Linked DNA regions of Lonchura striata. The protein of the gene in region 2 purifies or fractionates together with the protein of the main gene of each other region. This does not show direct contact. Links are inferred from orthologs where the notes say so. Each region holds a gene or a part of one and is shown on either strand. Other genes may lie near its edges.

What was found.
Region 1: the proteins of GAN (region 2) and NUDCD3 purify together in Homo sapiens (co-immunoprecipitation; 3 studies listed by BioGRID and IntAct, counting the BioPlex papers as one, with this or other methods). This does not show direct contact. The link is inferred for Lonchura striata from reciprocal best matches to the Homo sapiens genes GAN and NUDCD3.

What each region holds. Positions count from the first base shown.
Region 1 is NC_134634.1:5,381,494-5,398,018, reverse strand, and holds the start of NUDCD3 (nudC domain-containing protein 3), read left to right. Parts: upstream 1-10,181; 5' UTR 10,182-10,257; coding exon 10,258-10,449; intron 10,450-11,873; coding exon 11,874-12,166; intron 12,167-16,525. Other genes in the region: SLC20A1 (sodium-dependent phosphate transporter 1), read right to left, coding at 497-582, 682-822, 902-1,217.
Region 2 is NC_134615.1:19,105,972-19,122,175, reverse strand, and holds the start of GAN (gigaxonin), read right to left. Parts: upstream 7,392-16,204; 5' UTR 7,300-7,391; coding exon 7,133-7,299; intron 4,469-7,132; exon of another isoform or gene 4,459-4,468; intron 1-4,458. Other genes in the region: BCO1 (beta,beta-carotene 15,15'-dioxygenase), read right to left, coding at 12,257-12,429, 12,610-12,721, 14,377-14,471, 15,065-15,167. UniProt on the Homo sapiens protein: Probable cytoskeletal component that directly or indirectly plays an important role in neurofilament architecture.

The DNA.
Region 1 (16,525 bases), on a different chromosome or scaffold from region 2:
GCTGGAGCTTCTCTGCATAGCTAGGGTCTCAGGTGGAAGGAATGTGGTTTCCCCAGCCTCAGGAACAATTCTGTCCCTCCCAGCTGAGGAATGCCATGGCTGTGGATAACCACCTTCACCTGCAGCCTACCTCATGGAAAAGAAAAAAAGTCCTTACACCAGGATTTTGGAAAAGCCCAGCTGACAGCCCTGGTCTTATCAATTCTGAGCTACTTCATTACTGGGAAACAGGGCTGCTCCTGCTGAAGCCAGGCAAGACAAACCCCCATGTTTCAGAGGGGAGATGATGCCCCAAAACCCTCCAAGTCCACTCTGTCGAGTGGCCACAGGCCCCATTTTCCCACTACTTCAGCTCCCAAAGGGCTCCCCTGATGCCAACATATACACCCAGGATGTGCCAGGAGAAGCCCTGGTGACCATAGACCAACCAACAGGTCCATTGAGAGCAGCCACAAAGAGCCCCAAAGTACCAGAAAACAGGGCAGATAGCCTTTACCTTACAGAGGATGAACCTCTGGACGAGGAAGAACAGGACAGCAGACATGGTGCCCGAAAGAAGGGGTGAGATGAACCAGGACAACACTAGAAAGTGGGAGGCACAGTCAGCATCCTGCTGCTGGAAAAAGAAGCCCAGGGACACATGGGGTCCGTGGCTGGGGTGGTCCTGCTGGCTGGACTTACCAATCTTCAGCAACTCGGACCACTTGACACCTTCTTGCCCTTGGGCCACCAGTGAGAAGCCAATGGTCGCTCCAACGATGCAGTGGGTACCAGAAATGGGGAGCTTCAAGAATGAAGCCATCAGCTGCCACACAGCAGATCCTGCAGAAGAAGCAGCCTGCTAAGAAAGCCATCACCCTGGGACACAGTGCTCCTACACTGAGACCTCCCTGTGCCTTACCAGACATGGCGCTGATCGAACCTGCCATCAGCAGCTGCTCTGTGGAGTTGTACATCTCGACATCAATCAGACCCTTCCGGATGGTCTCGCTGACCTTGGCTCCCAGCAGGACAGAGCCCACCGTCTCAAAGATGCTGGCCAGGATGCAGGCCTGCCGCAGGGTCACCACCCCCGAGCCCACGGCCGTGCCGAAGGAGTTAGCCACGTCGTTTGCGCCAACAGAGAAGGCCAGGACGAAGGCAATGATGAAACCCAGGACCAGCATCCAGAGGAAGTCAGCCATGGGGGCGGTGAGCACCGCGGGGGTCGACTCCATGGCGGGGACGGGGCGATGGGTTAATAAATTAGGTTTCAAATTAAATAGAGGGATCGCTATAGGGCTCGGGGAGACCGCGACGTCCTACGGGCCCGTCGGTCGCAGGGGATGGGGGCCGGGTGCCGCGCCATGGTCTGCGCCGCTCGTCATCCTGCGGGAAAGGCAGAGCTGAGCACCGCAGGAGCAGGCACTCACCGGGCGAGCACCGGACGAGCAGAGCGCGCGCAGGGCGAGCACCGGCCCTTCCCGCCGCCGGTAACGGCCGCTCCCGCGCGCGCCACCGCCCCCTCCCGCCGCCATGCGTGTGTGCGCGCGCCTGCCCGTCACCTCCGCTCACCGGCTGGGCCGCGCCGGCCGCGCCAACCAGGAAGCCGCAGCTGCGGTGCCGCTCTGGCCCCGCCGCCCTCGGGGCCGCTCCCCGCCGCTGCCGGTCCCCGCCGCCGCCGGTGCCGGTCCCCGCCGCCCGGACTGCCGCGGCCGCAGCGCCCGGCGCCTTTAACACCGCCCTCCGCCCCACGTGACCGCGGCCCCCGGCCCCTCCGGCCCGGCTCCGCCCTCGCTGCCCATTGGCCCGCCCGCCGGGGCAGGGGGCGGGGCCGCGCCGCCATTGGGCAACGCCGAGCACGGAGCCGGGCCAGGCCCCGCCCCCGCGCGGGCAGCGCGCCGGAGAACCACGTGCGCGCCGGGGGAGGGACCGCACCGGGACGGCTCCGGGACGGCACCGGCACCGGCACCGCACCGGCACCGCACCGGGACGGCACCGGCACGGCTCCGGGACGGCACCGGCACCGCACCGGCACCGCACCGGGACGGCTCCGGGACGGCACCGGCACCGCACCGGGACGGCACCGGCACCGCACCGGCACCGCACCGGCACGGCTCCGGGACGGCACCGGCACCGCACCGGCACCGCACCGGGACGGCTCCGGGACGGCACCGGCACCGCACCGGGACGGCACCGCACCGGCACCGCACCGCACCGCACCGGCACGGCTCCGGCACGAGAATGGCATGGCCTGGCACCGGCACGGCATGGCCCAATGTGGGCTCTGCTCTAGTGTGGCACGGGCACAGCCCAGCACGTGTGAGGGCTCAGGCTGGGCTCCAGCACAGCCTGACACAGTTTGGCATGGATGTGGGGATCCGTGTGGGTCTGGCCCACATGTGGAACAGTTCTGCTCAGCTCCAGCATGACCAGCCTCTGCCAGGCACAGCAACAGTGCTGCACCAGCTCAGGCGGGCACTGAGCTGCTGAGCGCTGGGCTGGCACTCCAGTGTGCCTCAGTCCCATGCCAGTTTGAACTGGCAGCAGGCATGGGCCTTGTGCCTGCACTGATTGGGACCAGCACCAACCCAGGGGCTCCCACCGGCCTCAGCAACCACACGTAGGGACTGAAACCAGCAGCCACCAGCATCCAGCTGAGTGGTGGCAGGTCAGGGGATCCTGCAAGATCCCAGGAGGTTCCCGGGAGGTACTGCAGGGTCCCCCCAGCACGTCCAGCCTGGGTGACACAGGCAGGGGTGAGCCCCTCCAGTGTGCAGCCATCTGTGCACGCGTGTGCACATCACACGCGAGGGGCATGCGTGTGCCCTGAACAGGGGGAGCGCCGGTGCCCGTTCCCATCTCGGGGTGATCATTGCCCAGCAGGAACCACGGCTCAGTGGTCAGAGGCCACGGGCAGCCCCAGGGCAGGGGTTGGCCGGCACGGGAAGCTGGGGTGTCTGGCCAGGGGTTGTGCCGCCCCACGGGTCAGTGGCTGAGGGCTGGCCACGGCCGGGCCATCGCGTCACGGGGACGCTAGTGACAAGGGCTTGCAGATGGCACCGGGTACGGGGGGAAGTGGCCAGGGTGCCCCAGCCCTGCTGCATGGCTGCCCCTGCGTCACCCGGCCAGAGTCCGTCCTGTGTCCCCATGGGCCCTGTGTCCCAGGCCACGTGCAGCACTGGGTGCACAGAGCCACAGCACAGCCCGGGCTGGGCCTGGGGGCTAAGGAGGGACGTGTACCTGGAGCCTGGGGACCCCTTGCCACTCTCAGCTCGCCAAAGCATTAGCAGGGGATGACCCCATGCCTTTCCCCTGTCCCCACTCCGCATTCCTGTAACCACTGGGTGTCCCAGTCTGCCCTAGGTGTGTGAAGTGAGGAAGAAACTGGCAGGAGTCTGGATGAAGCTGCTAGGATCCATGTTCTGGGCCCCCAGATCCCATAACCCTGTATCCCAAAGCTGAGAAGGGATCCAGGTGTGTCTACACCCCTGCAGGGGTGGGGGCAGGTCTGGGGAGCAGTGCTGGGCATAGAGGGTGAAGGAACGGGTACGTGGGGTGCAGCGCTGAGTGTGTGGGATGCACCAGACATGGGGCACGGCACAAAGTGTGCAGGTGTGTGGCCAAGTGTGGAAGGGTATGGCAGTGAGCCTTGCAGAGGGTACAGAGCCTTGCACATGGGGAGCAGCATTGATCACAGAGCTGAATGGATGGGGCGCAGGGCCACGGATATCCTGGGAAGGAGCAGGCCCTTCGAGATGCCCCCAGGACACTGCAGGATCCCAGCACTGGGAGGGGATCCTTAGACCTTTGTCAGCTTCACTGCTACAGTGATCCCCACCCCTGAGCAGTGGGACTGTGACACTGGAGGCACTTAAAGCAGTGAGGCAGCATCTGGGAGCTGCTGGGAAACGCCCCGGGAAACACTCCAGCCTGTAGCCGTCTCACCTACAAACTACATCCCCCCGCCCCAGTAACACCAGTAAGTCTGTAACTCCTGCACTGGGTGCCTTTGATGGATGCTGAGTGTGTCCTGAAGTCCACCTGCTTGGCATCACCACTCCCAGTCCTGGTGCTGGCTTTGACCTGCAGGTCCCTGCACGTGCCCTGGTGTTCAGCAGCATCACTGGGCATCCCAACACTCATTGGCACACTCTGGACCTCTTAAGTGTCACCAGCACTCCGAAACCCCCAGCACCGAAGCTGTTGGTGTCTCTGCCTACCTGGGCTCCACTCCTGACTGATCCTCTTATTTCATGTTGTCCTACTCGGTTGTTAATTGGTAATAAATTAAAATTAATTTTCCTGAGTCAAGTGTTTTGCCCATGACTTAACTATTGAGTGATCTCTCTCTTCTAACCTCACCCTAAAAGTTGTTTCACTGCTCTCACCCCTGCCACACGTGCCTACATGGCCCCTCTCTGTGTCACCAACTGGGCACCGTAAGTGTGGTCATGTTCCATGAGAACTTACACGATGCAGATTCATGAATAGTTTGGTTTGTTGGAGCAACAGAAAAGCAGGTTCAGAATAAATGCACGAAGCACTGAGTGTTAATATGTCATGACAAAAGGTATAGAACAGAATAAAGCATTCCGGGGTCTGTGTGTTGCTGGAGGCTGGGAAGCACCCAGAAGCACTCTGGACAGCAGCCAGACACAAGGGTCCTGTGGCAGAGCTCCACAGGGACACCTGCACAGGCAGCCCACCTTTTCCTGGTGTTCCAGTAAGCTGGGATGGAAAAAGCCCTGTCAAGGTCAGCCCCAGCTCACTCATCCAGCTCCTTTCCTTGCCATGCATTTCCCCAGGAGATCCTGCCCAAGCATATGAAACAATCTCACCTGCATGGGAGACCTCTTCCACTCACTGTGTGCTGGTGGATCACTGGCAAAGGTATTAGTGAAAACAAACCTGAATCACATTGTGGGTAAGGTTGAAAGCGACAACAGTGGGATCATCTGGTCCCACCTCCCTCCTCAAGCAAGGTCATCTGCAGCACATTGCACAGAATTGTGTCCAGACAGTCCTGGAATATCACAAGTGGGTGAGATCCACAACCTGGGCAACCTGTTCCAGTGCGTGGTCACCTGCATAGAGAGGTTCTTTCTCATGTTCAGGTGGAATTAATGTGAATTTGCAAAAACACAACAAAAGGTCATGTCCAGGGTCACTGTATTGCTTACAGCATGGATAATACATGTAGTGAAAATCAAATTAGAATCAATTTGAATCAGTAGCATCATGGGGCTCCCCGCACCCCCCTCAGTACCCAGGGGACCCCTAGGCCCTGCAGTGGGCACCCATGTGAGTTTGCTTCCAGTACAACACAATTGATTTTGCTGCTGGTCTTTATTTAAAAATACAAATATTCTCCAAATATTCTGCTGGGTTCTGGCTGGCTGGCTCAGGCACCTGCGAGGTGCCTGTGGACAGAGGAAGCTGCTAAAGTGTGGCAGGCTGGGTGTGAGGGTGTGGAGCAGTGCTGGGCACCCCGTGGGCCGTGGGCACCACTGGGGAGCTCTGGGCAGAGCACCGAGTGCCAGCTGACAGCACCACAGTGACTTACTGGGCACCCAGAGCTCCAAACACCTCATGCCACCCAATACTGCTTCGGCAGCTCCCCTCCGCCCCGCCAACTCACTTTCTCCTCTTCCTCCACACATGGAACACACAACACAGCACCATTCCCAGCAGCATTGAGCCAAGGACCGCCACGATGCCTTCAATGCAGAACTTCTGGAAAGAATTAGCATCCACAGCGTCTGTGTTTGCCCTGCCCAGCACCGTGTTTGGGTCTGCCCTGCTATCCGCAGCGGTCGGCTCTGCCCCGGTGCTCCCAGCACTGGCAGATCTCCTGCTGACAGCGCTGTTGAGGTTCAGGCTGTTCACACCTGGAGGACCAATTGTGCACGTTAGCATGTCCTGCACACATCTGGCAATCTCGCTGGAGGGCTGGCATTGCCAAGAAATGTTCTTTCTCACTTCACTAGCAGCTCTGAACAAGGGAATATCCTGTGGTAACATTTCCACGGCTTCAGTAGAAACCAAGGGAACTCCCAAAGGCCTTGCAAGTCCCCACTCTCTGGACCCTCTCTCTCCTCTCAGATTTGCTTACACTTTGGAGTAGCCTTAATCCAGTTCTTCCAGTGTCTGCCTTTGCTCCCTGCTCCTGGGGATTCTTCCCATGCGCCCACAATTTCTGTTGTGCTCTGGCCAGGGATGATCTGACTGGGCAAACACAGTCCCCCAGGACTCAGCTGGAGACACAACTGGCAGTACGGACTCTGGACCACCCTTGCAGCTCAGCATGACAGGGAGAGTCCCTCAGTGAGGGTCTGGTGTGTGTGGGGGGGGTGCTATGGTGTGCCCCTACATGCACCTGAAACCTCAGCTGCCCGATTGTGTTGGGCAGGGGTGACCTGTACCCACCTCCTAGTATCATCCTCAGCTTCCTCAGGATTTCATGTAGCAGTTTGGATGTCTCCACAGAAGATTGTCCCCTTTCATCTTGATACTCTGGACCTTGATGCAAAGAATAAAGTTGCATTTTGCCCCCAGCAAACCCTGGAAGCAGCCCTCAGGCCATGCAGTCGGTCAGGACTGACGAATGACTCCTAAAGTGCCAGGGGAGTTCCAGTGCAGAGTCCAGCCCAGAAGTTGGGAAAGCCCTGCCTGTGCCCACAGCTGCAACCAGACCACACAAGGAGCTCCTCTCATACCCTGGAGCACCATCGGTCCTGACAGAACAACAGAACAGGGAAGAGGCTCACGGAAGAACACAGCACACCCAGGCTTTGCTCCCTGTCCCTAGGGATCCTTCACATTTGTCCACAACTCCTCTTGCACTTGCCCATCTTTCCCTTTCAGGGCTCAGCAGGTGCTGCCCTGGATGGAGACTGATGCTGAAGGATACAGCTGTCCCCACGGACAGGACCCCGGGGGCTGGACAGAGAGCTTGGAGGGAGCACAACTGTCTGACCAGCCAGCCCTTGGAGTCAGGTGGACAAAACCCATTCCTGTGTCAAGGTGAGCCACCTGCAGCTCTCCCTCCCCAGCCCATCACCCACACCCCCAAGGGGATACAGTCAGGCCCTCTGGGGAGATACCTGAACTTCCCTCTCCCTTGCTGCCTTTTCTGCAGTACGGACAGCATTTGCCTGCCCCCAGTTTTCAGGACTTGTCTCCCACTTACAACCCGTGGCAGGACTGCTCCGTGCCTGGATAATTTTGAAAGCATTCCTATATCCTGGACGAGGGCCTTCCCCAGGGTTGGCCAGCACTGACAGGGATCAGGGAAAAGTAAACGCTCAGCATGGCTCAGGCACAGAGTTTGCAGGAGGATGATGTAGGGTGCCCCTCAGCCATGCCGATCTGAGAGTGCACCCCTCTGGAGCCTGGTTCTGAGGAGGGATCGCCCCTTGTTGTGTCAGGGCCTCCAGGGTCTCACAGCAAGGCCTGGCATGCAGGTGCTGGGGCAGGGACATTAAATCCAGAGTCACATTTCCCATAATTTGCTGAGGGCTGCCCAGGTGGCCTCATTTCCAAAAGAACTAAGTTCTGAAATCCCTGAGAAGGGAGTGTGAGAGCTGGTGAGCATCCTGTTGCATCCACAGAGTGTCTGAGCGTGTGTGCCTGGGACAGGAACAGCAAGAGCCTGCAGCCCAGAGGTGACAGTCACCGCAGAGCTGCTGCTGGCACTGGCAGCTTGGCACGGGGCAGAGCCTGCAGCCAGCCGGGGCTGAGCGGCCAAAGGACAGCGACGACCCACACACCTGAGTGAAAGGCCCCGGTGCTTTGCCCAGGGCCTGGCACCGCCTGACCGCCTTCCTGAAGCGCCTCCTCCTGCGCCGCCATACGCTCCAGAGCTTGGGAGAGAAAGAGTGCCAGGTGAATTGCCAGTCACAAAGAGTGCCAGGTGAATTGCCAGTCACAAAAAGTGCCAGGTGAATTGCAACTCAGAAAGAGTGCCAGGTGAATTGCCAGTCACAAAAAGTGCCAGGTGAATTGCCAGTCACAAAGAGTGCCAGGTGAATTCCGAGTCACAAACAGTGTCTGGTGAATTCCGAGTCACTGCTGCTCCTCAGATCTGTCAGAGCTGCGTGCTGGCCCTGGCCTGCCCACCTACCCATGGCCTGTGCTTGCCACGGAGCAGCCCCAGCGTGTCGGGCTGGCAGGGCCACCAGGAGCAGGGTGAGAGTCAGGGCCCAGCGTGCCTGCACCATGATGCAGCTGCTGCTGCTGCAGCCCGCAACGCCCGACCTGCACTGCGCATCTGCAGGGCTGGGCTCTGCAGCTCCACAGGCACTTTGTGACCTCATGGGGCCTTCTACCAGCAACGTTCTGCCATCTCCAGGGTGGGCACAAGTGTTCCCCAGCTGCTGGTGACCGGTCAAGCAGAGCTACCAGATTCAGCCCTTCCCCAGTGTGGAAACCCAGGGCACCGGGACGATTCCACCAGGAATGTTTCTCTGGCTGCTCTGGGGTGTCCTGACCCCCAGGGCAGCACTGACTTTGACCCTCACTCATGGAGAAAACTTCCAAAGCCTCAAGGTTAACCAGAAACCACAAAAGTGTGAAATAGATTGTAGAGAGTAGTGGAGTATGTCACACGGGTGAGAATCTTAGCTTTTAGGACTTTTAATATGTTATAGATGGGTTCAAGATGGAGGATATAGGGTGTTGTCTCGAGTTCATTTTACTTCCTTCCTCTTCCTTCATCTTCTTGGGTTTAGGTGGTATCTTGTAATTGGGTAGAAAAATCCACATTTTGAATTGGAAAATGTGGATCTTTAGGGCTCAGTTATTGGGTTGGAAAGGAAAATCATTTATGTGTCACTTCTTAATTGGGTAGCTTAGTTTTTGATTAGACTTAAAAGGCCTTGTAACAAGAGATCGTTGGCCATTTTTGTGCTGTTTTTTGTGCATGCAGAGTGTGGTGCAGACAGCGTGCTGAAGTTTTGATAAGATAACAGTAAACAGAAGCTGAAGAACCAAAAAAGTCCAATGCATCCCTCCTGACACAGAACTGCTCCAGGTGGGTCTCCCCTGCCAGGGGAGCCCAGGGAGTTGCCCAAGTTGGGGCTCACAAACTCACAGCCCAGCACACACAGGGTTCTCTGGAGAGCTGCTCTAGTAAACTCTGCAGAGACCACCTGGGACTTTACAGAGCAAATCCCAGTGCTCCTGGAAGTGCATGATGGCATCAGGCAGCTGCTGGTGTGGACCTGCCCTGAACTTGGACCAAACACTTCCTGGAGTTCCCCTGGAGGAGTCAAGTCAGGAGCTGGGGATTATCTCAAAGCCTTTGTGCCCCACATCATCCTCAACAAGGACTGTCAGCTGGCACATGGAGCTGTTCGCTTACTTTGCCCCTCATGGAGTAAGGAGCATCCTCAGGAAAGCAAATAGAACTTGTGGGCTGAGATAAAAAACATTTAATAATTGAAATACAGTAAAATAATAATAACAAATTTTAAAAAAGGAGGGAGAGAACACCCAAGAAAACAAGTGATGCACATTACAACTGCTCCCCAATGCCACAGCAGCCCCCAAACCCCTGTGAGCCCTTTGTTCCGGGTACTCCCTCACACTGGGCACAGGGCACGCCTTGGCCAGTTCAGCTGTGCCAGCCGTTCTTTAGGGCACCTCCTCCCTGGCACAGCACCGAGACACAGAAAATTCCTTGGCTCAGGGCAAGCAGCGCCGTGGGGCCACCTCTCCTGTCTCCTGCGGGATTTGCTGCCCATCCCACAGGCCCAGAGCACCACTGCAGGGCTGCCCTGGCCACCAGCACCCCCCGTGCCTGGCACAGGGCCGGGGGACATGGGCAGCGCCCGGCACGGCCCCGGGAGCGGCCCCGGGAGCGGCCCCGGGAGCGGCCCCGGGAGCGGCCCCGGCACGGCCCCGGGAGCGGCCCCGGGAGCGGCAGCGGCGGCGGGGCTCGGGCGCCTCCTGCAGGCCCCGAGCGGCACCTGCAGCCGCGCCCCCCGCGCGGGCAGAGCCGGGAACGGCGAGGGGAGGGGGAGCCGGAGGCACGGGGGACACGGAGAGCGCGGGCAGCGGGGCACCGGGGACATGGCGCCGCGGGGTTCGGGCGTCCGCTGCTGCTCGGGGCGGCGGGAGGTCCCAGCGGTGCCACCGGGGGACCGGGAGCGCCTCGGAACCCGCAGCGGGCGGGAGGGGCCTGCCGGGCGGGCGGAACAGAAGCGCGCCGGGCGGGTTCCGGGCGGACCGGAAGCGCGGCCGATCCCGTTGCCGTGACAGCGGGCCCGGGCCGCCATGGAGGCCGCGCTCACTGACATGTACGACCAGGCGCTGCTGGGCATCCTGCAGCACGTCGGCAACGTCGAGGAGTTCCTGCGCATCCTCTTCGGCTTCCTCTACCGCAAGACCGACTTCTACCGGCTGCTCCTGCGGCCCGGGGACCGCCTGGGCTTCCCGCCCGGCGCGGCGCAGGCCATGGCCCTGCAGGTACCAGCGGGGCGCGACGCGGCCGGGCCTTGCTGCCGCGGGCCGAGCGAACGGGCCGTGTCTTCCCGGCTGCGCGGTGCTCGTGTCGGGCCGGCGGCGGGGTTCGTGCGGGCAGGGCGGGGGTCGGCGTTGCCCGGAGGAGCGCAGAGCAAGGCAGGAGAGGTGCCTTGAAGCGGGGGAAAGCGTCGCCCTCGTAAGAAGACGGGAAGCCCCCGAGGCAGGCGAGGACTGCGAGACCCCGGTGGGAAGAGCCGGGTTCGACATCAGCTCGGACGTTGGCCCGAGCTTGGGTTCGTGTCTGGTGTACCCTGAAGAGTTTTTGGTATGGGCAGAGTGAAGGAGATGCAGCGTTCCTGCCGTGGGAAGGGGTTAGTGTGGCCTCCTGGCTGCAACCAGAGGTTCCCCGAGTGTGGGGACGGTGTGCAAGGGGCTCATTCCTCCTCATCCTTGCCCAGCTGCAGTCCGGGGGATGCACTTCTGAGCTACTGCTTTGCATGATCCACGCAGGGCTGGTGCTCACCTCTCCCACACCCTCCCCTCTGCTCAGTGCGTGGGGAGGAGAGCTGGAGTGAGTGGCACGAGTGTGTGTCCTGTTGTGATGGTGCTGGCAGGGCCATGTCCTTTGTCCTGCACCTCCTGGACCCAGAGGAAGACTCAAATCGAGCAGGTGTGCCAGTCCGCTGCTGGAAGTACTAAATCTGCCTCCAGAATGTTCCTGGGAAACGAAGGAGGGCATTTTAGAAGGTGTTTACAGTGCCAAAGGCTAGCACTGGGGTGGGAGACCTTGCAGGCCGTTCAGGAGGCAGCTGCAGGGTCTCAGTGGCCATCACCCCTTGCTGCAAGGGCCTCACGTCTGACCTCCAGCCTGCACTGGACAGGCATGGCTGGGAGCCAGGTGAGGGGTAGGGTTACATCTCCTGGATCACATCTGCTCCTGCACCTGTCTGCCTGGACACAGCCAGTGCCAGGTCAGCTGTCCTGCAGCTTCTCTTGGGGCAGCTCATCCTGCTTGCCTCTTGGAGACACTGTCTGAGACCAGGCATGCGAGTGGTCCCTGTGTGAGCCCTGGAATGTGGGGAAAGGGAGGCTTCATTGGAGCTCCCTCCCAGCCGAGGGCTGAATCTCACCACTCTGCTTCTCCCTGGAGTAACCAGCCCTCTTGCCAGGCTAGGGTGAGGTTGGCTCTGAGAATACAATCCTAGAAACAATTCCAAAATGCTGCCAGGAGTTTCTGAGGTGTGCTTGATGTAGCCATTGGAGTTTTCAAAGAGTCATCAGCTGTTTGTTTTGGTGACTGAAGCAGCTCGGGGTAGGTATGTGGTGCAGAGAGGAAAGAGCAGGTGCCCCAGGCGTGTGGTGCTGCTCATTCCCTTCTCTGGGCAGAGCTGGAGCGCTGCTCACTGGGTTTGCTCTTTCTCTCCCAGGCATTCCGAGTGTTTGAACGGATGGCCAGGCAGGATGATGAGAAGAGGCGCCGGGAGCTGGAGGCGAAGCTGAGGAAGAAGGAGGAGGAGGAGGAGGCAGCTGCAGCCGCTGAGAGGGTGAAGCTGTGTCCTGCAGCTCAGGAGATCGAGGTGGAGACAACGGAGCACATCCCAGCTCCAGAAGCTGGGGAAGCTGAAGGCACCCAGGAAGCAGCTGCAGCCCAGGGTGCTGCAGCCCCCAGCCCAGGGTCAGTGGAGCCTCCAGGGGCTGCTGCCCCAGCAGAGCTGCCCACGTAAGAGTCTCTTACTTTCTTCACACTCCTGGTGGGGGGAGGCAAAACTGTGGACAGGGCATCCTCTGTTCTCTGCACAGCTCTTTTTGGGTTTTGACCTTCCTCTGCAGGCACTCAGCCTTTCGGGAGGCTGTGAGGATTACCCTTGCAGGCTTCCAAGGCCAGAAGCACTGTGTAACTCCCCACAGGAGGGCAGTAGTTGTTGTCCTGTGGGTGGATCAGCGTTTCCCACTCTGGTCTGAGCAGAGGAGGTGGCATATCCTGTACATGGCCCTACAAAGCTGGGCTGGGCCATGCAGCTCATCCACAAACTGGTTATGGTGTGCATTTTTCCTTTTCTGGCACTTCTAAGGCTCACAAGGAAGTGCTGGCACCAGCCTGCAACCTTTTTGTGAGTGCTGGACTCCCTGGCGTGCTGGGAGACATCCCAGAAGCTGTATGGGAGTGTGCATGGATACCTGCAGTACCTGCAAGTTGGTGCTGGGAGTGTGCACAGATACCTGCGAGTTGGTCTGTGAGTATGCATGAATACCTGCGAGTTGGTCTGTGAGTGTGCATGAATACCTGCAGTACCTGCCAGCTGGTGCTGGCAGGCCTGGCCTGTGACAGGGGTTTGGAGCCCTCTCGAGGTCTCTGACCCAGCCCTTGGCTCAGAGCAGGGCCAGCTTTGAAGATGAAGCTGATTTTTCTCTTTAGCTAGGCGTGGTGGCTTTCCAGCAGTGCCAAGCAGGCTGCATTTGTGCAGAAATGTCATTGAGTCAAAGTCCTTCCACAGCTTCTGGGACACTTCTAGCCTGACTCTGCTGAGCAGCAAGATGCGAGCTGCGGAGGGTCAGCGTGGCCTCTCTGAGCCATGTACTTGAATGCAGGTCCTGTACAGGCTTCACTCGTCCTTCCCTGGCATCACCTTGACCCTGAGCCAAGTCAGAGCTGCCCAGCCCTTACTCAGGGCCCTCATGCCTCACTGAGGTTCAGACTCCCGTGTTTCTTTGCTGACCAAGCTGGGGGAGTGGTGCTGTGAGCTGGCTGTGCAGGCTCCATCTCCTCCCGTGCCCGGTGTGTTCTGTGCTCAGGCCCCGTGTGACGGCTGTGCCGACCCTCTCCGATCACCACAATGGTCCTGACCAGATGTGGGGCTTTGCTGCGCCTCATCCCTGCTGTCCCACTGGTGCTTGGTGAGGAGGGAAGCTGGAGCTGGTGATCCCTGTCCTCCCAGCCAGTTTTGGAGGTGTCATTGGGAAGAGCAAGCTGCCAGAAAGAAGTGGACCACTGAAAGAACCCCAAATCCTGTAAGGACTGGGATGGCTGATGCCCCTGAGGGGCAGAGAGAATTCAGAGCTCAGATTTTGGGGCATATTCTGTATGCCTCAGCATATGGGAGGTACAGTCTGAGAACCAAAATCTTGGGAGGAGCAAAATGATAAATGGCAGGAGCAGAGAGGTTTGGTTCTTTCCTCAGGAGATGGCTGGGCACTCAAACAGGCTCTGTGGTCGTGGCTTCAAGGCTGCCAGAGGTCAAGGAGCATTTGGACAATGCTCTCGAGCAAATGGTGGGATTGTTGAGGTTGCCCTGTGCAAGGCCAGGAGTTGGACTTGATGATGCTCGTGAGTGCCTTCCAGCTCAGAATATTCCGTGATTCCATTATTCTAGGACAACGGTGGAGTCAGGTTCTTGGCTGGAGGCCGTGTTGGAGAAGAGCCTGAGCTCTGGCTGTGCTGGGGAAGAGCCTTAGATTGGCCACCACTGGGGAGGGGGAAGGGGGACCGGCAAGGACTTACGTGTAACTGGTGTGCATCCCACGCGGTAAAGATAAGCCAGGAGCCAAAAATGAAATCATCTGCAATGCCTGTCTTGGAGCTCTCTTGGTAAAGGTGGGGCTGCCAGTCTGACCCCGATCCCTGGGCAAAATTAGCAAGTCAAAGAAAACCCCTGCTAGAGTGCACAGCAGGGGCCTGGGTCTGTCCAGCCCAGCTGTCTCCCAGTGGAGAAGAGAGGGAGAGATTGGAGGCCCATGAAGCCGTGAGCAGAGGGATCTGGGCTCGGCTGAGTGCCAGTTGCTCATATCCCCATGGAGGCCACGTTTGCTGTGGTTTGCCCCATGAAGTTTCACCTCAGGACTTTGGTTATGGGGCAGCAGCTGGTGTGAGGAGAGTTCAGCTGCCTGAAACAAATGTCAGCGCTGCGGGAAGGAAACTGGAGGGATCAGGAAGGAAGGTGGGGGGCTCGTGTGGGAGCAGGATCAGTCTGACAGCGAGTGTGGTGGAGCTGAGAGGAATGGTTTCCACTGTGTGTGGTGAGAACCTGATTAGAACTCAACCCTTGCATGTGCCACCCTCTGTGTCCTGGCACTGCTGGAGCTTGGCCCCTGTCAAACCTCAGACACTCAGATGCTGTTTTGCAGCCTGCAGCTGTGGCACTGAGCACCAAGCACTGCATGGCAGCTGTCCTCTGGGTGTTGCCGTGAATAGAAGGTGCCTTCTGCTGCATATAGCTGCCACTGCAACTTCTGCCCTCCCCAGTGGGCTCTTCTGCCTCTTCTCTTGCTGCTCCCACCGCCCCAAACTCACTGGTGGGGTGGAACAGCTGCAGCCGCCTTGGTGCCTGCCCAGTTTAAACACGTGGTGGGTGAGACCGGGTGCAGGAGGCTCCGTCCCAGCCGCATGAGTCTCGTGGTTTCCAGCCAGGGGAATGGGGTGGCTGCGGGCTGGAAGTGGGGCAGGTTTGGCCCGGGTTCGTCAAGGCGCTGCAGTTGGTTTCCGAGCCTGTGGGGGGCACTGGAGCCCCCAGGAAGGCAGCGGGGGCCGGGCGGGCACCCCCCGACAGACTATTAATAATTTAACCAACTGCTTAATTCTCCACAGCCCCTTCCTTCTGAGTAAAACCCGGAGCTACCAGCCTGAGTACGAGGGGCGCATGAGTAATGCACAACTCTGGCAGCAGGAATGCAGAAAAGAGCTTAAACAAAAATATTTTCCATCTCCCCTTCCTTCTCCCCGCCCCTCCAGCCGCTGGTGAAGAAAACCGCTGCCACTAAAATCTATATAAAAACTTGCTCATTCTGTCAACCTGACGGCTCTGGAAATGTAGGGCAGGTACCATCCCAGATCTGCCAGCTCCCATCAGAGCCTCGCGCTGCACCCGGATGCTGGGGTATTGGTTGGGAACATCTTACAAAGCACAGTGAGATGGTAGCAGCTTTTCGAGGGTTGATCCAGATGAATCAAGCCAGTTTTGCAGATGTGGAGGTTTTCAGGGCTCAATTTGGGGCTTGGCCAGGTCTCTCCAACTCCCTCACCTTCCCCACTTGTGAAAGGCAGGTGAATCAATTCCTCTTTGCTGCCCTGCATCTTGCTGTGCCAGATCTCCCAGCAGCAGCTGGTCTAAACACACCGAGGACGGAGGTGGCTTTGGAGTGACACTCATGCCAGGAGCTGTGCCAAGGGGGACAGAGGTCTCTGTGCCACAGAAGAAGCCAGGCTCCTCTTGCAGCTGCCCCAGTTGTTCCAGCTGTCCCTCCCCAGTGGTTGCAGCTATCTTGCTGTCCCTGCCTTGCCAGGAGGGTAGCAGGCCACAGCCCTCCTCACACTTCACCACGGGGCTGTTCTTCCTCGCGGTGCAGCTGCACAGTCCCAGCTCTGGCTCTTCCCCCATCTGCTCCCAGAAGCCATCCTTGCCTGAGCTCAGCTCCTAATTTTGAACACCTCTGCTGCCCAGCACCCTCCCCTTCCCCCAGCTTGGATTCCATCCTGCATATATTTGCCACACAGCATTTAAAATAGAGCCTGGCAGCCCACGTGTGGCACTGCGCAGCCCGGCCTGTGCTTGTGCTTTATGACTTTGGTTCCTGGCTTCCCTCTGCTCCTTGCTTTCTCCCAGTGTGAACTGGGGGGGAAGCTCTCATCCCCCTGTCCTGTGAGTCCCGTCTCTTACTCCATGCATGGGCAAGAGATAGTGCAGGAGGCTGGGAAAGGCAGTCCTGAAGCCTGTGCATGATGGTGAATGTCTCACCTTCATGTGTTTCTCCATCCAGCTCTTGTGTCTCTCCCAGGTGCTCCAGCCATGTGTGCTCAGCTCTGGTCTGTACCTTAGAGATCATCTAGGCAGGTGAGGTCTCTGAGAGGAGGATCTTTGGGTGTGGACGGCACAGCCAGGGCTGGAAGCAGGGCCACTGGGGCATGGAACAGCGTGCCAGGTGGACCCAGGAGGATGGGCAAGTGCCTCATGCCTGAGGAAGCCTTTGGCTGCTGCTGGGCAACATGCAGAGCAGAATGAAACCTGGGGTCTCTGTGGCCATTCACCTTCTGTGGTGGGGAGAGAAAAGAGGCAGCAAGAGGAGTGGGCTGAGGTGAGGAGGGGGC
Region 2 (16,204 bases):
AGAAGAAACAAGTACAGTGTTATACAGTACCCATGCTGCTAAATTTTCTGTTAAATATATTTAAGAAACATAATGCTCTGTAGCATGTGTCTAATAACCCAAATATTCCTGTATTATAATTATATTATTTTATTTAATTTTATTCAATTATATTCCTGTAAATATTATTATATAACGAACACCAATAGATCTGCTGGGAAAACTTGGATTAAACAGGTTTTTATACCTCATTTATCCTTACAGCACGTGGGAGGAATAAGCAACAGAGCTGGAGAAAGATTTTCATAATTGATGGTAAGTATGAAGTCAAATGGACAAAATTTTAAGTGCATGATTAGTGTTGTGGAACAGCTGAAAGAAGTTTGGAATCCAACTGAGATAAGCAGCAGAATTCTGGATATGCCCGGAGCTGGAAAACACAGATCTGCAAGATTTTCACAGAAAGCAGTGCCACAGCCAAGAGGAAGAAGAAAGCAGGAACATGGATTTCATCAGCACAGAAGCCTCCAACACAGAGCACTCCCCATGTCCATAAACAAGAGCTGCAGCAGGCAGCCCACATCATCCAGGGGATGTAAACCAACATGCCTGAAGACATAAACCAGCCACCAACCTCATGGGATTAAGGACATACTTCCTTGATAGGGCCAAGGACTTTCAGAGCTGTGCATAAGCAGTGATTTATTTTGGTTTTTTGGACATATTAAGCCATGGGAAATATGAAGAGGCAAAGGGTAGCACTATATTGGTACTCAGTACCAGCACAGAAAGAAATTTCTGTACAATATTCAGAATAAGAGTCTGAAGAGAGTGAGGAAACAAATCTTTTCAAACCATTAATTATTGCTCATATTTGCCAGTCCACACCAGGAAAAAGGTCCTTTAGTAACTGCAGATCAACAGAAACAAAACAGGTTCAAAGAATTAAAAAAGAACATCACCAAAAAAACCAAAACACGAGTGAAGCATTTCTGACTCATCAGCTCCAGACACATCAGCCCTGTTCCAGTCACAAATCAAGGGGAAAAAAAAAAATAAAAAAGGCTCTTTTAATCATAAAAGTTTTGCCAAACAAGGCAATTAAGGCAAGTGTAAAGGCAACCTACAGAGTATAAATTACCCAGACATCCCAAGCAGCCCCATCCTGCCACACCTTCCATCCCAGCTCGCCTCTTACGTCAGGCACGCAGATGAGCTGCGCGTCTCCAGATACAAAGAAAGGACAAGAAATTTCATCTCTAGTTCTCCTGGGTAAACAAGATGCTCTGATTCCCAGTTCTCCCTCTGCCTGACATGTAGCAGCAGCACAAATGTATTTTTTTACTATTTTGGGCTGGGTAAGAGCCTTATGGCTTCTTTCCTTCAGGCGATCTCTAGGGGCTTGTTGGAGCAGGAATATAATTAACAATTCCCCATTCAAGCCTGGTATAGTGACTTCTAAATCCCATTTCAAACCATAAACTTTTAACATTCCTTTATCACAGTTGCCCCTCAACTGCTTATCCAAACATAACATGCATGTAGGCACTTCTGAATTGTGCCAGGCACAGAGTTTCTGGCCAAGGCAACTATTTTGATTTATTGCCTCTCAAAGCTACAGAGACTTTACAACTCAGCTACCACTAAAACATAATAGGTAGCATTTCAAGTTCATTTTTTTTTTTCAATCAAAACCAAAACAAAACTATGCCAAATTTAAAAAACAAAGTCTGGAAGCAAATTCTGGCCTGATCTGTTCCTGACTTCCTACTGCCAGGGCAGCCTCCAAAGCTCCCAGGAGACTGCCAGAAACAAACTTCTCAAAAGAAACCTTGAAGACAACAATGGCTTTAGAGCCCTCCTTGACACTGCAGTTACCACAACACCGCCCTGCACACCCAGTGAAGAGGGAACAAGCCCTGGCACAATTACAGCATGATTTGGCTAAAGCAGAACTTGGGAGCAGGGCGTTCTGACAACCAAACAGCTCCCAGCTCCAGCTGCCATTTGTGTTCCTGACTTCAATATTTATCCCAAATTGAAGAAAAGTTTTAAAACACTATAAAAGATCTCTATAAATGTCAGTGAAGACCAAACAGGTACCAGGAAATAAGCAGCAGAAGCTCCTGGCATGTGTTGGCTCCTACTTGACCTTGTTCTACAATATTCATTGTCCAACAGGTGTAACAAGAATCACCCAGTGGCACCTCCAGGGTGCAGGGGGGACATCCTGTCCCAGCTCCCACACCAGCACTCATGGATGCTCCCAGACATGCTCACACAGGGATGGAGTCTCAGCAGGCTCCCCTCGTGACAACTGCAAACGCTCCAAGTGCAGGCACACAGAGGAAAGGGCAGGAGGTCAGTCATGGGGGGCACGTCCCCCACATCTCCATGGAAATCTATTTCAGCATTGGCTGTGGCTGTGCAGGGTCTTACAAGGTCTGCAGTGTTTTAGAGATGTCAGAAGGTTGAACAGGACAAGTGAGAAGATGCAAAGGCTGTCAAGTTATTTCTGACCAAAGCCCATTTACAAGCAGTACAGCTATTTATAAGTACGTAAAAATAATGTGAACTTAACCTCACATTTACATTCTTGTTTAGTTATATTATGCTCCTCTGAAAAAAGATTTAAATATGATTACTGGTCCATTACTGAGTTTGAAAAGCCTTGGGGAACAGTATAGAACACACACGGCCATCTGTAATCTGCTCATGCAGATGCGTGAAAATCAAAGACAAAACTTGCTGAGATAACAAAAATGTCTTAATTCAATTTGTAATGCAGCAGCACAATCCCTGCGTGTAACAACATTAAATTTGTCTAAGAATATGGGCTTAAATAGCCTCTTTGCTGAGGTAGTTCCCACGTGCTCCCTGTGATCCAGGCAAGCAGACAGTAAATGAGCAAAATATAAAGAGGTGCAAGTTTCAGCTGGCCAGGAACGACTCATGCCAGCCAGTGACAGATCTGTTCAGATGGGAACATCTGCTGCTACTGCTCAGGATACCAGGAATGCTTGGACCAAGTCTATCCTATAAAAGGTTGGTGGATCTATGCCACAACTCAGGCCAAACTTACTAGTGCAAGCATGGTTTGTTCAGGGAAAAGCCCTCTCACACCAATGTAATTTACATCAAGCTCTCAAACTAAATAAATTAAACCAGGGCAATGGATCTACACTAAGGACAAAGAGTGCTACCAAAAAAAGGGCAGGTTTCTGGCTGATTTGTTACAGAAGAGAAAATCAAGAGCTCACCTGGCTTGAATATAACTGCTCTGGGATGCACAGCAGCATCACCTCGAGCCAAACCACACTTTGTCCTGTGGTGGTTTCTTCCTGAGGAGCCCTCCTTTTCTCAGGCTCAGGAACATACCACAAGATGTTAGAGATATGCAGGGAGACTTCTGTGCTTTGTAAATGGCAGGATTTGCTCCAAGGGCACACAGAGGGATTAGATAAACCTGTACATATAAAAGAATTCTGTAGGAATTCACACAACCACTCCAGACCTCACTGGCCTGAGAGAGCTACAGACCACTTGGCATTAAGCAGTTGAGGCAAAACCTCAAGAATCAAACTACCACAAAAATTAAAATTCTTACTGGTCCCACAGACTGAAAATTTGAAAATAAACCAGGCTTTTTTTATTTTTCTGTACTTTCAGAAGCCACCCTATGGATCAGACAGACAGGTGGACATATAACAACGACCCCAATAAGACTTCCAATATGTTTCTGTGCCCCTTCATGCCTTTTTTTCTCTCTCCACTGAAGCTGCTATATTTGAGCTGCATGGATAATCCAGTTGCCAAATAACTAGTGGGAAAACACATCACTATAATTTACAAGTGTCCTACTCATAACCAGTCAGCCAAACAGCTCCCATGCAAAACTAAAAAACAGGTAACGCTCCTCTCTCTGTGGCTGCACAAATCCTTCAGCACACACAGACTGCTCACACCCAACCACCCCCTCACAAAGTCCATGCCTACTTATTTTCCTACTCACACCCTAAACTAGGCATTCATGCAAACCCTACAGTTTCTGAACTCGCCCACCAACTTGCCCACAGCCACAGCACATAATGAGACAGCCAGACACTGAAAACACCACATCAACTCATACTTCCACTGCTTCACTTCAAGTTTCACGTACATGCTTATTTTTATTCCAAGTTTTACTTCTGAAATTACTTAATGGATTTTTCTGAGCTTTATATTGGAATTTTTCAAATGAGAGCAATCTGAATCAATTGGCATTTGGAGACTGTAACAGCCTGTGGTACCAGAGCTTTGGAATCAGCTACCCTTAAAATACAGTGACAGGAAATTCTTGTGTCTCCTACAATAACTGTTTATACAGAGGCCTCAACTGATTTGCACAGACTAGGTACAAGGTGGAGATTAATTTCAACTTCAAAAAAAGCCACTGTGTTCTTTGGCTGGAAACACAATGCTTCAACATTGGCAACCTACCTGACCAATTCTACCCAATGTGAAGACCAGCTGGACTAAGAGAGAGATCCTGGAGTGATAAAAAGAAGAGAGACAGGCAGCAAGTAAAAATTAGGCTCTGCAAAGGTAGGCAATACAAATGTGTTTCCTAATGTGCCATACAAGAACTAGGTACATGTATTTTTAGTTCTTTACATCTTGAAAACTTGAGGAGAAGACATGAGTAAGCTTAAAAAAAAAACAAACCTCACATTTAATCATATTTATATATTAATGCATGTAACCTACTTTCACACATAGTTAATGAGTTCCTTCATGAGATTTGAACCTGAACAATTCTGAGCTTAAAAAAACCACAGCTCTAATGACTACAGGTTTTGTTGCTAGTGTAGTTGTGTCTGGAGCTCTTATTCCTCACAGACAATTAACCCATGTTTCCCCAGTACATTTTTCAAAGATTAACAAAATGCAAAACTTAGAGATGAAATTCTGTGAAAAGGCTCCATAGGGCAATCTACAGTATCTTTTAGTTAAGCATTTTTTTTTTCACAGTAAAAAAATTGACATTTTCTGTAAACACATCCTGCTGTAGCAGTAGAACAGCAGTTTTTCCAAGGACATGACCTCTTACCACCTGCAGCAACTCTTCTGAAACCTAATGTCAGGCATATGGTCATCTAAAATATGATGCCCAATGACCTAAGAAGCTTTCAGGCATTTTGAAGAGTATGAATCAATGGCTCATTTCTATTTCACATCTTTGATTTCTTTCACCACAGTCTTCCAAACCTGCTTCTCAAGACAAGCAGTGACAAAAAATTATTAGTAGTACATAGGCTCCACCATGTCCTTTTTGCAAATTCTTGATGATCCTTCTATGTGCATTTTATATCTGTTCTGCTAGCTTGGTGCAGAGAACTGTTTACTTAAGTCTGTGCATGACCATTGCTATTTAAAAGTTATTCACCAGCCTCATATTGTATTTATTATTAGTTTAATTTTGTACTTGAGAATGTTAAAGTTGTACTACAATGGTCACCCAAAATAATGTCTTGTTTAAAAGCAGACGCTATGACACTGCACAAGGTTGCATTTTTTCAGATTGTAGCATAAAGAATTCCCATCCTCACCTAGCAAAAAAATGCAAACTTTATGTCAACTTCACAGGAAGCAGCAGCTGGAAGAAGTGTCCAAACAGTACAAGAAGTCTGCAATCAATTGATGATAATCCCGATTTTAAATGGTACAGAAGGTCTGCTTCTACTTTACATATGAGGACAAAAGAAATGCCTTATTACCTGCAAATGAGTGGACTTAAAAACACCTTGAAATTATGCACTTGTATGTTTTGTTTACCTGCTCTGACATGCAGACATGTACCATGAGATCTCGTGGAGGTATGTTCTTTTCACCTGCTGTCACTGGACTTGACAGCACTGAGTGTGATGGGGTTCAGACTGGTGTCAGCAGGACTTTCCATGACCTGGGTTTCCCTGCACAGCTGCTTGCCAGGCACCTCAGAAACCATGACTGTGCTAATGCAGCTCGTCCTCCCCAGCACTCGCTGTCAGTGGCACAGTTCTGACTGCACATGCTGGTGACACCCCTGCCAAGAGCTGCCAGCGATCCTGGCACGGCCAGGCTTTGTCACTCTGGCAATTTCCAAGCGATGTTCTTAGATGTTGCGGGGGCACACGCGATGGGGAGACAAACCTGTATTTTTATTTTTCAATTTAGAAGCCAACGTACTTCAGACCTCATGATCACCACCTGGAGCCCTGTCTTGCTAAAAGGCATTAAGGAGGAAAAAAATGATGCTGAAGTGCTGACTCGGTGCGGCCGAGGGACACACAGAGCCCAGCACCTCACAATGCCCCCGGGATGCTGCCCCTCGGCCGGACACCACCCTCGCCATCCTCACAGTTCACTCTGCAGGGGTCACTTGTTCACAGCGGGCTCCCGGCAGCAATGAAGTTGTTGGGGGGATTTTTTTTTCCCTGGTGGATGACACAGCCTCTCAGAGCTGGAAAAGCAGCGCTGTGATGCCGAGAACACGACGGGTCCTGCGGAGGGGCCCGGCGGCACCGGCCGGAGGCAGGGAAGGAGGGAAGGAGGGAAGGAGGGAAGGAGGGAGGCAGGGAAGGAGGGAAGGAGGGAAGGAGGGAAGGAAGGAGGGAAGGAGGGAAGGAAGGAGGGAAGGAGAGAAGGAGGGAAGGAGGGAGGCAGGGAAGGAGGGAAGGAGAGAAGGAGGGAAGGAGAGAAGGAGGGAAGGAGGGAAGGAGGGAAGGAGGGAAGGAGGGAAGGAGGGAAGGAGGGAGGCAGGGAAGGAGGGAAGGAGGGAAGGAGGGAAGGAGGGAGGCAGGGAAGGAGGGAAGGAGGGAAGGAGGGGGCCCAGCAGCTGCTCCCACAGAAGCGCAGGATAGCTGGTGTCGGAAGGGAGCTCAGATCCCCCAGTGCAGCTCCTCTGCCAAGGCAGGCACAGGGCAGGAGCTCCCACCTGGAGCAGGTGACAGGAACGCGTGTCCGGGGTTTGAACACCCGCAGAGGGAACTCCGCGCCCTCCCTGCGCTCGGGGTCCGCGGCCCCCGCCGGCCTGCCCCGGCTGCTCCGTCCGTGCCCACACGCGGCGATCTCGCTCCTTACATAAGCCCGGCCCCGCCGAGCGGCCGCCCGGGGCCCGCGGGCCCGGCCGTACCTGATGTAGGGGCTGGCGGCCGCCAGGATGTTCTTCTGCACCGGGATCTCCTCGCCCTCCAGCACCAGGTGCGCGTCGCAGAACCGCGTCTCCTCCCGGAACGAGCTGAGCGCCCGCAGCAGCCGCGCCGGGTGCTGCGGGTCCGACACGGCGCTCGGGCCCGACATGGTGCTGCCGCCGCCGCCGAGCCGGGCCGGGCCGGGCCGGCTCAGTCCCTGCCCTCACACCATGGCTGGGCGCCCGCCCGCCGCTGACATCATCTCCCGGCATCATCTCCCCGCGCCGCCCCGCGGGGGCGGCCCGGAAATCTCGGCTTGCTCTCCGCACGGCTCTGCAGTGGCGCTGAAGGAGGTCCGGAGGAGGGAGCGGAGCTGGGGAAGGGGCTGGAGGGAGCCCGGGGGGTCAGCCTGGAGAAGGCTCCGGGGGACCTGCTCGCTCTCATCCTGGAGCCGCGGGGGGGTCAGGCTCTCGTCCAGCAACGAGCGGCAGGACAAGAGGAAATAGCCCTAAGCTGCACCAGGGGAGGATTATTTTGGACATTAGGAGAAATTTCTTCCCAGAAAAGGTGATCAGACATCGGAGCGGACTGCCCAGGGATGTGATAAAACCACTGTCCGTGGAGATGTCTAAGGAAATACTGGAAGTGGCACTCCCCGGTCTGGGTGACACGGTGGTGTTTGGTCATAGGTTGGACTCGATCATCCCAGAGGTCTTTTCCAGTCTAATTGATTCTTTGATCCTGTAAAACTGGCCTTTTATTTATTCGTTTGTTTCCTTATATGAGCTGGGGTGAATGTTACAGGTGTAGACACAAGGAAAAGTAAGAGAATGAGAATTAAATACAGCAAGATTCATTGTGGCAGTGTCCCTTTCCACAACTTCCCACTGGAAATGTGGCCTTTTCCAGCAAAAAAGATCTTTAGGACAGTTCACATGGTAAATTTTAGGCCATTTATTATCATGCTTAATTGCACGTTAAGAGACTACTTGATTCCATCTGCTTTCTTAACAACATCCAACATTAAAGTGGTGAAACTATTTGCACTGAGTGAAAGTGTTTCACAAACTGTGATCTGCTCTAAAACAGACATCCAGCTGGTGCTGCTGGGAGGGACCAGCACAGCAGCTCCCTGTGCTCCCTGTGCTGACAGGCACAGCAGCACTGGGATCTCCCAGCCTCTGGAACATTCAGATGGATGTCATGCTGCCCATTCCTTCACTGGGAAAATAACACTTTCAGAGGGTCTGATCTAGTAACGCTGTGGTGGGTCACATTACTTTTATTACTTGCATTTCAGTGAAATGTAACAAAATTCTATCATTCATTCAGTTTGATGGTGTCTCCAAATTTTACCACTCGGAAAATGAAGCTGGGTACCTGGAAACGACCCCATAGGAAATGAATGCCTTGTTCTTTCCAAGCTGGACACAATGCTGCTTTGTTGTGCAGATGGAGACTGCAGCCGGGACATCCTCACACATCACCCAGCAGTCCAAACCCTGCACCCAGGGCCTTGATGAAGAGTGTGCTCAGCCCTGTTGGAGCCAGGCTTCAGAGCTGAACCCTTGCTGAAGTGCTCCCTGACTGGAGAGGGGTCACAGGGGGACCACCGTGCTGCAGCTTTGTTGTGCAGCTCTGAACAAGAGTTTTAGGAGCAGAGGATGTAGGACAGAAAGCCTAAGCCCACAGCAATGTGCATAAAACACCAGCAGCTCTGCAACACTTGCTGTCATACATACTCACAAATATTAGAAGGCCACTTTTTTGTTGCTTGGGTGTAATTATCCAGGATGTCAGGTGTAGGCTGAGGATCCAGAGGACACATTCTCAGCTCTCTTTGAGGGTAATGAAGGCAGAGAGCACACTGCTCCTTAGCTGCAGGGGAAAGATGTATTTTGCTTGTCATTAATACTCAGGTAATTGCAGACCCAAGGGAGCAGTGGTTTAAATTATTGCGAAAGCTGTCATTGAGTGGCCTGGTTATTTGAAAAGAAAGACACCGGTGTGTTCTCCTGCCACCTGCACAGATTGGTACAGAGGAAAACATTGTTGCATTTCTGGTTTTTAACGCGTCCTGGTAAACACTGTTTCTGCTTCCTCCTGCTGCCCATATGGGGCAATGGGACATGGTGTAACAGATAATATACAGTTACAGAGGACAAATTCATTGTTATACCTTGTTATTTGTTCCATTTAATGAATGAATTAACAACAAAAAAAACTCACCAAACCAAAACAACAACAAACCAAACCACTCTATCAAGGTCCATCTGTAGCATCTCTGAGGTAATTAATTATATATATGCATACCCGTGGTCTGATTCTCTCACTCAACTATGTATTTTTCTTTTAATGGAGACACTTGTCTTTATTATTTTTTATTTGCAGTCACTTCATCTAGATTTGTGTTATGCCATTATTATAAAAATTCTATGAATTTTGTTGGGCTAATTTATGACTTAAATTAGTGCAAAAGAAGCATCAGACCTTTCTGACCCTTTAGATTCATTCACAGTGAAGGGTGTCAGAAGCAAACCAAATGACACTCATTACCACGTGCCATGCTACCACATCAAAAAAAACCCCTATGAGCCTTGCAGCCACTTGGTAAAGCATATCAGCATTTCCCCTTGCTTCTGTCAGCCTGGAAATGATAGTGTGTTACCATATTCAGGGTAAATGTTTCATCAGATTGGTATTGCAACCACTAAAAACATCCTTGAACAAATTTGTGATTAGCTGTAGGGTTTTATTCCTATTGTCTCTGCTGCAGGAGGATACTGGGATTAGCAAATGCAGATTTGCATCTGTTTTTCTCCTCAGATTAACTACAAACTTAATCAAATCTTGTGAAGTACTGACCAAGGGAATAGGGTACATCTCATTTAAAAATCACATCCAAGATAAGTTCTTATAATTTATTTTCTGCATTATTTCTACATGATTGTAAATAACACATTTGCTTTTTGAGACTACAGGTTGTTTTTATGATGAGTATATCTCCTATCCTGTCATCTCTACCAGTAAAAATTATCCCCTCATAAGTGAACTAACTCCTATCCAAACCTATGATTATCCCAAAACAACCCTGTGAGTACTACAGAAGAAATTCTAGAGACAAACTCTTAGAAGAAAATCTGTAACAATGGTTAGACTTTTGATGCATTGCCACCTTGTAATTCTAGAAATGTATTTGTGACCTTTGTTAAATCCAAACTTTTTCATATGAAAAGAAACAATGCCAGAGCTGATGTCTTTTGCCAATATCATGAGTCAATCTTCTCTTCCAGTACTTGTTCCATATTATTTACAAAAATTGAATTAAATTTCTTCTTTAGAAGATAAATTTCTATTAAATACTAATGGTAATAGCCTTTGAAAACACTAAAAATGACTATTTCTGCAGACACACCTTATTGAAATATTTATTTCCATTTTAAGGAATGTGTAAGCATTTGAACACTCAAACCTGCATATTTTAACTAGATCTGACCACAGTGTTAGATTTTTTTTTTGGCATTAAAAATAGTCTGCATATCTTTATCCTAACAAAGTGCAAAGACTTAAGCAGAGCAACAGAGATCTGGTTGTTACAGAGTAGTCAGGAACTGTGGATGATGTTGGTTCAGTTCCTGCTCTGCTACAAACACCTTAGGTAATCCCAAACAGGTCACCAAGCACAGATTCTCATGTGGTAGGGAGGTAGTAAATGAAAATAATTTCATTCTGTTTCCTTCCTATGAAATACTGTGAGCAGCTGAGGCACTGAGGGTATATGTGTGCCAAAGAGGTACCTGAGCTGTGTGGTGATACAGACAGACCAGATGGACACCCAAAATGGATGGATATACACCTGGTTTTCTCCATCAGTAAAGATGCTCCAACAGCAAAGATATCTACAATGAGAAAACAAAATTCAAAGCAAAAAAAGCTCGCACTTAAAGAAAAGTCAGTATCAGGAATATAATCAGGGGGTAAAAAATGCCATTTCTGTAACAGAACCCATCACACTGTGCTTGGCACTTGAACTTTATGTTGAAATGTTCATTTTAATTGTAGCTGTAAGTGAAAGTTGTGCAATTTTATTAGGAAGCATCTGGTACAGGCAAGAATCAACACATGTGAGAACATGGATACTCCTAAGCAGACATAAAGCAAATGCTTAGTAATGGCAATAACAGCTTCTAGTTTCTGCTACTGTGGGGTTCAGATGAGGCCTAAATTAGATCTTTCACTCTTTCCTAAACTGTTTGTTGTGCATGTGTGTCTGAGTTCTGCTAGAAATACACTGCTCACATTCACATACATACTGCTATTAACAGAGACTAGTGGCAGTAGCAAATACTACAATTCTTCTCTTTTACACAGTATAATAATCTAATTACATGAAATGCAATGGCAGATATTCTGCCCAAGGAAAACTGATTTAAATACAAACTGCTTAAGGTTGAATGTCACTAAAGTATGATTGAATGCTGCATATAACCATGTACTCTTTTTCAATAAAGTTACTTGGTTTTGTCAACGTAAAAGTGAAAAATACACCATGAAACTATTAGAAAAGCTGGGGGAAGGGTTAGGTTCTGGATAAGAAAAATATAGCACCTCAGCATAATACTTTGGTTATGGCAGAGTTTAAGAAATCAAGCACCAAGAGAATATATTGCCATGAATTATTGGTATCATGGTCACCATGATACCAAGGTTTTACCAGTTTAACATGAGGTTTTCTGGCAGGAGACAACTTTCATTGTCAGCTGCAGTCTTTCAACAGCCCATGGAAGTTACATGACCTGCAGACATGTGTAACTCATGCCCTGTGTCACCCTATGAATACAGTACTTCTTTTGCTCAGAAAGCTTTGTTCTACTCAAATAAAACATTTATTGCCCTTGCTCCACAAGCTGTATTCAACATTAGCACTTCATATTGATAATTCTTCTTTTGGAATAGTGATATACCAGTTGTGCACACAATGATTTGTAATAAAGTAATTTTTGTCTCTTTTAAGAGACCATATGTAGATATTGAGGAGGTTATAATTAGTAATTTCTTATCATAAGAGAAGGCTGTTCCTGAAGGACATTATCCCACATTCAGAAGTGCAATGCAACAAATAGATTTTACTCAGTCTCAGTTTTCATGTCTTGCTGTGGTATAAATATTCCATGCAGGTCCATATGCATGTCCACATTTACTATGGCTCGACCCAGCTCTGAGAAAGTTTTAGCATCCAAGATAAGTAGGAAGGGTGGATCCTTTGGATCAGACTTCACAACACAGGTCAGAACAACACCTGTGACATACAAATGAATAATTAGAAACATAGAAAAATTTCACTAAGCAGAAAAGATAACCTCATATCAAAGAGGAAGCATCAACCCAATCTTCTTGACTAAGAATCTTGAAACTTGTAAGATTTAATACAAAACTCATGTAACCCCAGCTTTCAGAATGTTGGTTGTCATTATTTTACCATCGTCCTCTTCTTTTCCATCGGGGTTGGGAACAAAAACAGGCTCGGATGGCCAGCAGTCATCCTCTCTCCACTGGACCATTTCCTTTGTCTGGGTATTAAATTTTGCAATCTACATGGTTGTAACAAGAAACAAAAAATGTCAGTGACCCTGACAGTGGCTTTTCCCAAAGGTACAACAAGAACAGACTGCTGACAGGGAGGACCAATGCTAAGAGTTAAGGCAGGTATCATCACAAGAAAAAACACAATGAAAATGTTAAATTTTGGAGTCACATTTTATGGCTGCATAATCACACAATGTTCTTTTAATTTCATTTCATTAGATTACAATTGCACCTTTCATTTACAGGTGTTTAATAGTTCATAAATGCTAACAGGCCACAAAAGACCCTTCACTATAAGTAATGGCCCTCATTGCAGAGAGTCCAAGACACTGAGTATTTAAGTGACTTGTTCCAAATCACTGAGATTATGTAGTAGAGCAGGAAACAGGATTTAAACTTGCCATTTTCTAATCCTGTGAATTATTCTCTTTTTATTGCTACTTCCATATTCCTCAAGGCCTTCTATTGTGCAGTAGGGTACATATGGCAGAAGAAAGGCTGTTCCTAGTGAGGTGTAAATATCAAAGCAGTGAGGCAGACACTGGTGTTCACTGAAGGAACAGAGTGTGGATTTTCATCCCACTGAGTGGCCAAACCAATGGCCAGAGGGGATGCCTGGCATTTGCAGTTCAATTCCATTAAGGCCTTTTCTCTACCCATAGAGATGCAGTTCTATTCTTTTCCATTTTGATCTTTAGCCAAAAAATACGTTTACACAAAAGTGAAACTATTCAAATGATTGGAGGAAGAATTAGAAAGAATTCTTTCCTCTAGCCAAGATGACAGCACTTTCACTGACAGACTTTACCTAAGGATTAGGTTGTTGGGCTTGCATTCATTAAACTGCAACTGATGTGAAAAAAGATCCTCCTACCATTATTTTTTATTATATTTGAGTCAAGCAGAGATTATCTACACTGCAAATGAGCTTGCAGATTTGTTTTTGTCAGATGTGCTGCAATAAATTTTCTTGCATCATGCAGAAATCCAGCTCTATTTTGTAATCAGTTGTGGTAATTATATGCAAGAACCAACAGTGACTGCAATTTGTGCTGCCTTGTAGTCACAGAACAAGAATTGTAGAGCATGAGCTTGCTCATATAATACTCATACATTTAAATCTTTAAATTACCTTAATTTTATTTAATATTTAAATCTTAATTAAATACTTTCCCTGTTAATCTGTTTGTATTTCAGGCTGTCTTCTGGCATCATGCACATGTAAACAAAGCATTTACTACCTCTAAGAGAGAACTAGCCAACAAAATATAAAGTTTCCCCAAAATAGATATTGCTTTAATAGTTAAAATTTATTAGGTAGTATTACAATATCTTATTTTTCTGCTAGGCTTCCTAAAGGGAAAAAATACTAAATATATACATGTAAATAATACTTATTTTTCCTACTCTCTCCTTTGTAGTTCCTGGCACATCACAGAAGGTTCAGCCCAATTTAGCAGAAAAGTAAGGGTCTTCGTAGCTATTCAAGAGACTTTCATGGAACATAAAGCTGGAGTAAGAAGCCTGAGTTTATGAAAACTTTATGAGGAAAATGGTACAACATGAACTTATTCTTATGATAAATTAGGCATTTCATGTTCCTTTGCATGTGAATGGCCCAGCAATGGGAAAACACTGACTTTATAAATGTTAAGCATACCTCTGTAGGAACTGGACTCCACTGGACTTGTGTTGCAAAGATATACTTGTATTTTTTGCCATTGTAGTCATAGTTGATGCGAGGCAGTTCTATCCCTGTGTAAAATAAAATTCAAGACTTAGGAACAAGACAAGAGAAAACCCCAAATTAACATCTATATGGACACACCAATCTTCAGGACATTTTGCCTGTAAAAAAACTTGGAATTACTTAATAAAAGTGTTGTATAGACTTGGAATGTCTGAATTTGTAAGAATCTGAAGATGGTTACTAACACAAGTAAGCCAGGCTGTTAGTTTAAAAGGCAACAATTTTTTATTCTTAGGGATTCATTACACTGGAATTTATGAGGGTTTTTCTGGTTTGGGTTTTTTTCTTTCTTTATAAATACATGATGTGAATAACTGGGATAGAATTGGAGGCTACTATTCTAAGAAATTACTTTTACCTCAGGTAATTTTGTATTTGCATATTCCTGTTATTATGCCCTGATCAAAGGTTAAAAATACTCTTTCAAAGGCAATCTTTATAAAATGCAGCTAAACTTGAAGTACTACTCATAACAGACTTATTTAATTCAAATTACACTTTTAGCAAGTAGATTTGCAAGCCATAGTAATATCAGACTTGGAATCCTGTACTAATACAAAACTGGTGTAGCATCAGATATTTAAAGGATCTATCTGACCTTCACATAGTATTTCAGGTTGGCAATAGATGCTTCCATCTTTCTCCTTTACAGCAGTTGCAGTAGAGGGAAGTGTGACTAAATTAGAGTCCACTAGAGCATCCTGAAAGAAAAATGCTGGAAATGTCATGGATCTCTAAAAATGTGCTTCTAAGTTTGATTTTTCATCAGGTTTCATATTGATATTAACAATTTGCAGATTAAACAAATAAGCTTCAAGAAGATCCTTCTTATGGCATTTTAGATTCTGAGGTTTTCATTAGAAATCTTGTTGCACTCAGAGTATTTTAATGTAACATAATATAGTTATTTTGAATCAAACTGAGTCCTTATAAATGTTTAGATACACATGGCTATGGTCCAGAAGTACCATAAATTTGAGAATTAAACGAATGAAGATGAGTTTCAAGGAATAAGGTGTCAAATTTTCACTGAGAGTCACCAAGGTTAGATTTTTGCACCTGCTAAAAATCAAGTGCAAAAATAGGTGTGATATACTCTAAATGTTCTACTACTTAATTCTTAAGATTGCAGAACAGCTGAACAGCTGGTGTGACCCAAAACATCCTTTGTCACTGCTGCAGAGCTGTTTCTGAGAAAAGAACAGAGCAGCAATGTTCTAGGATGTAGACAGAAAAAGTAATATCCATTCCAAAGGTATCAGGCAGAAACTTGCCCGAGTTGCTGGGCAGTATAAAATCTTCCCTGCAAACAATGATGTAAAATGATGCTTTAAATTAAACTAAAAGATAAAATCTTTTCTCTTCCTCTATATATCACACTTAAATGAAATCTTCGAGTTTTAATTGAACCATTGCACCATTTGGGAGCATGCATTAATTGTATGTGGGCTTCCAGTGAAGTGTAAGAAACAGATTGTGCAAAACCTCATGCATGCCATTGCAGTTAACAGCCAAGTGGGTCTATCTGCTTCTGTTTGATGGCATTTAACTAATAATCTCATTTGGAAGAAAACAACAAGTTCTTCACAGCCTTGTTCTCCAGAGTGGATGGTGTCAGAACCAGGATCCAATCCACACAACCATGGCCAGCTGCCCAATGCCATTTCCCACAGGACATATAAAACCCAAACCTCCTGCACTCTTTGGGGATCACAGAATCAGAAATTTACACATAAGG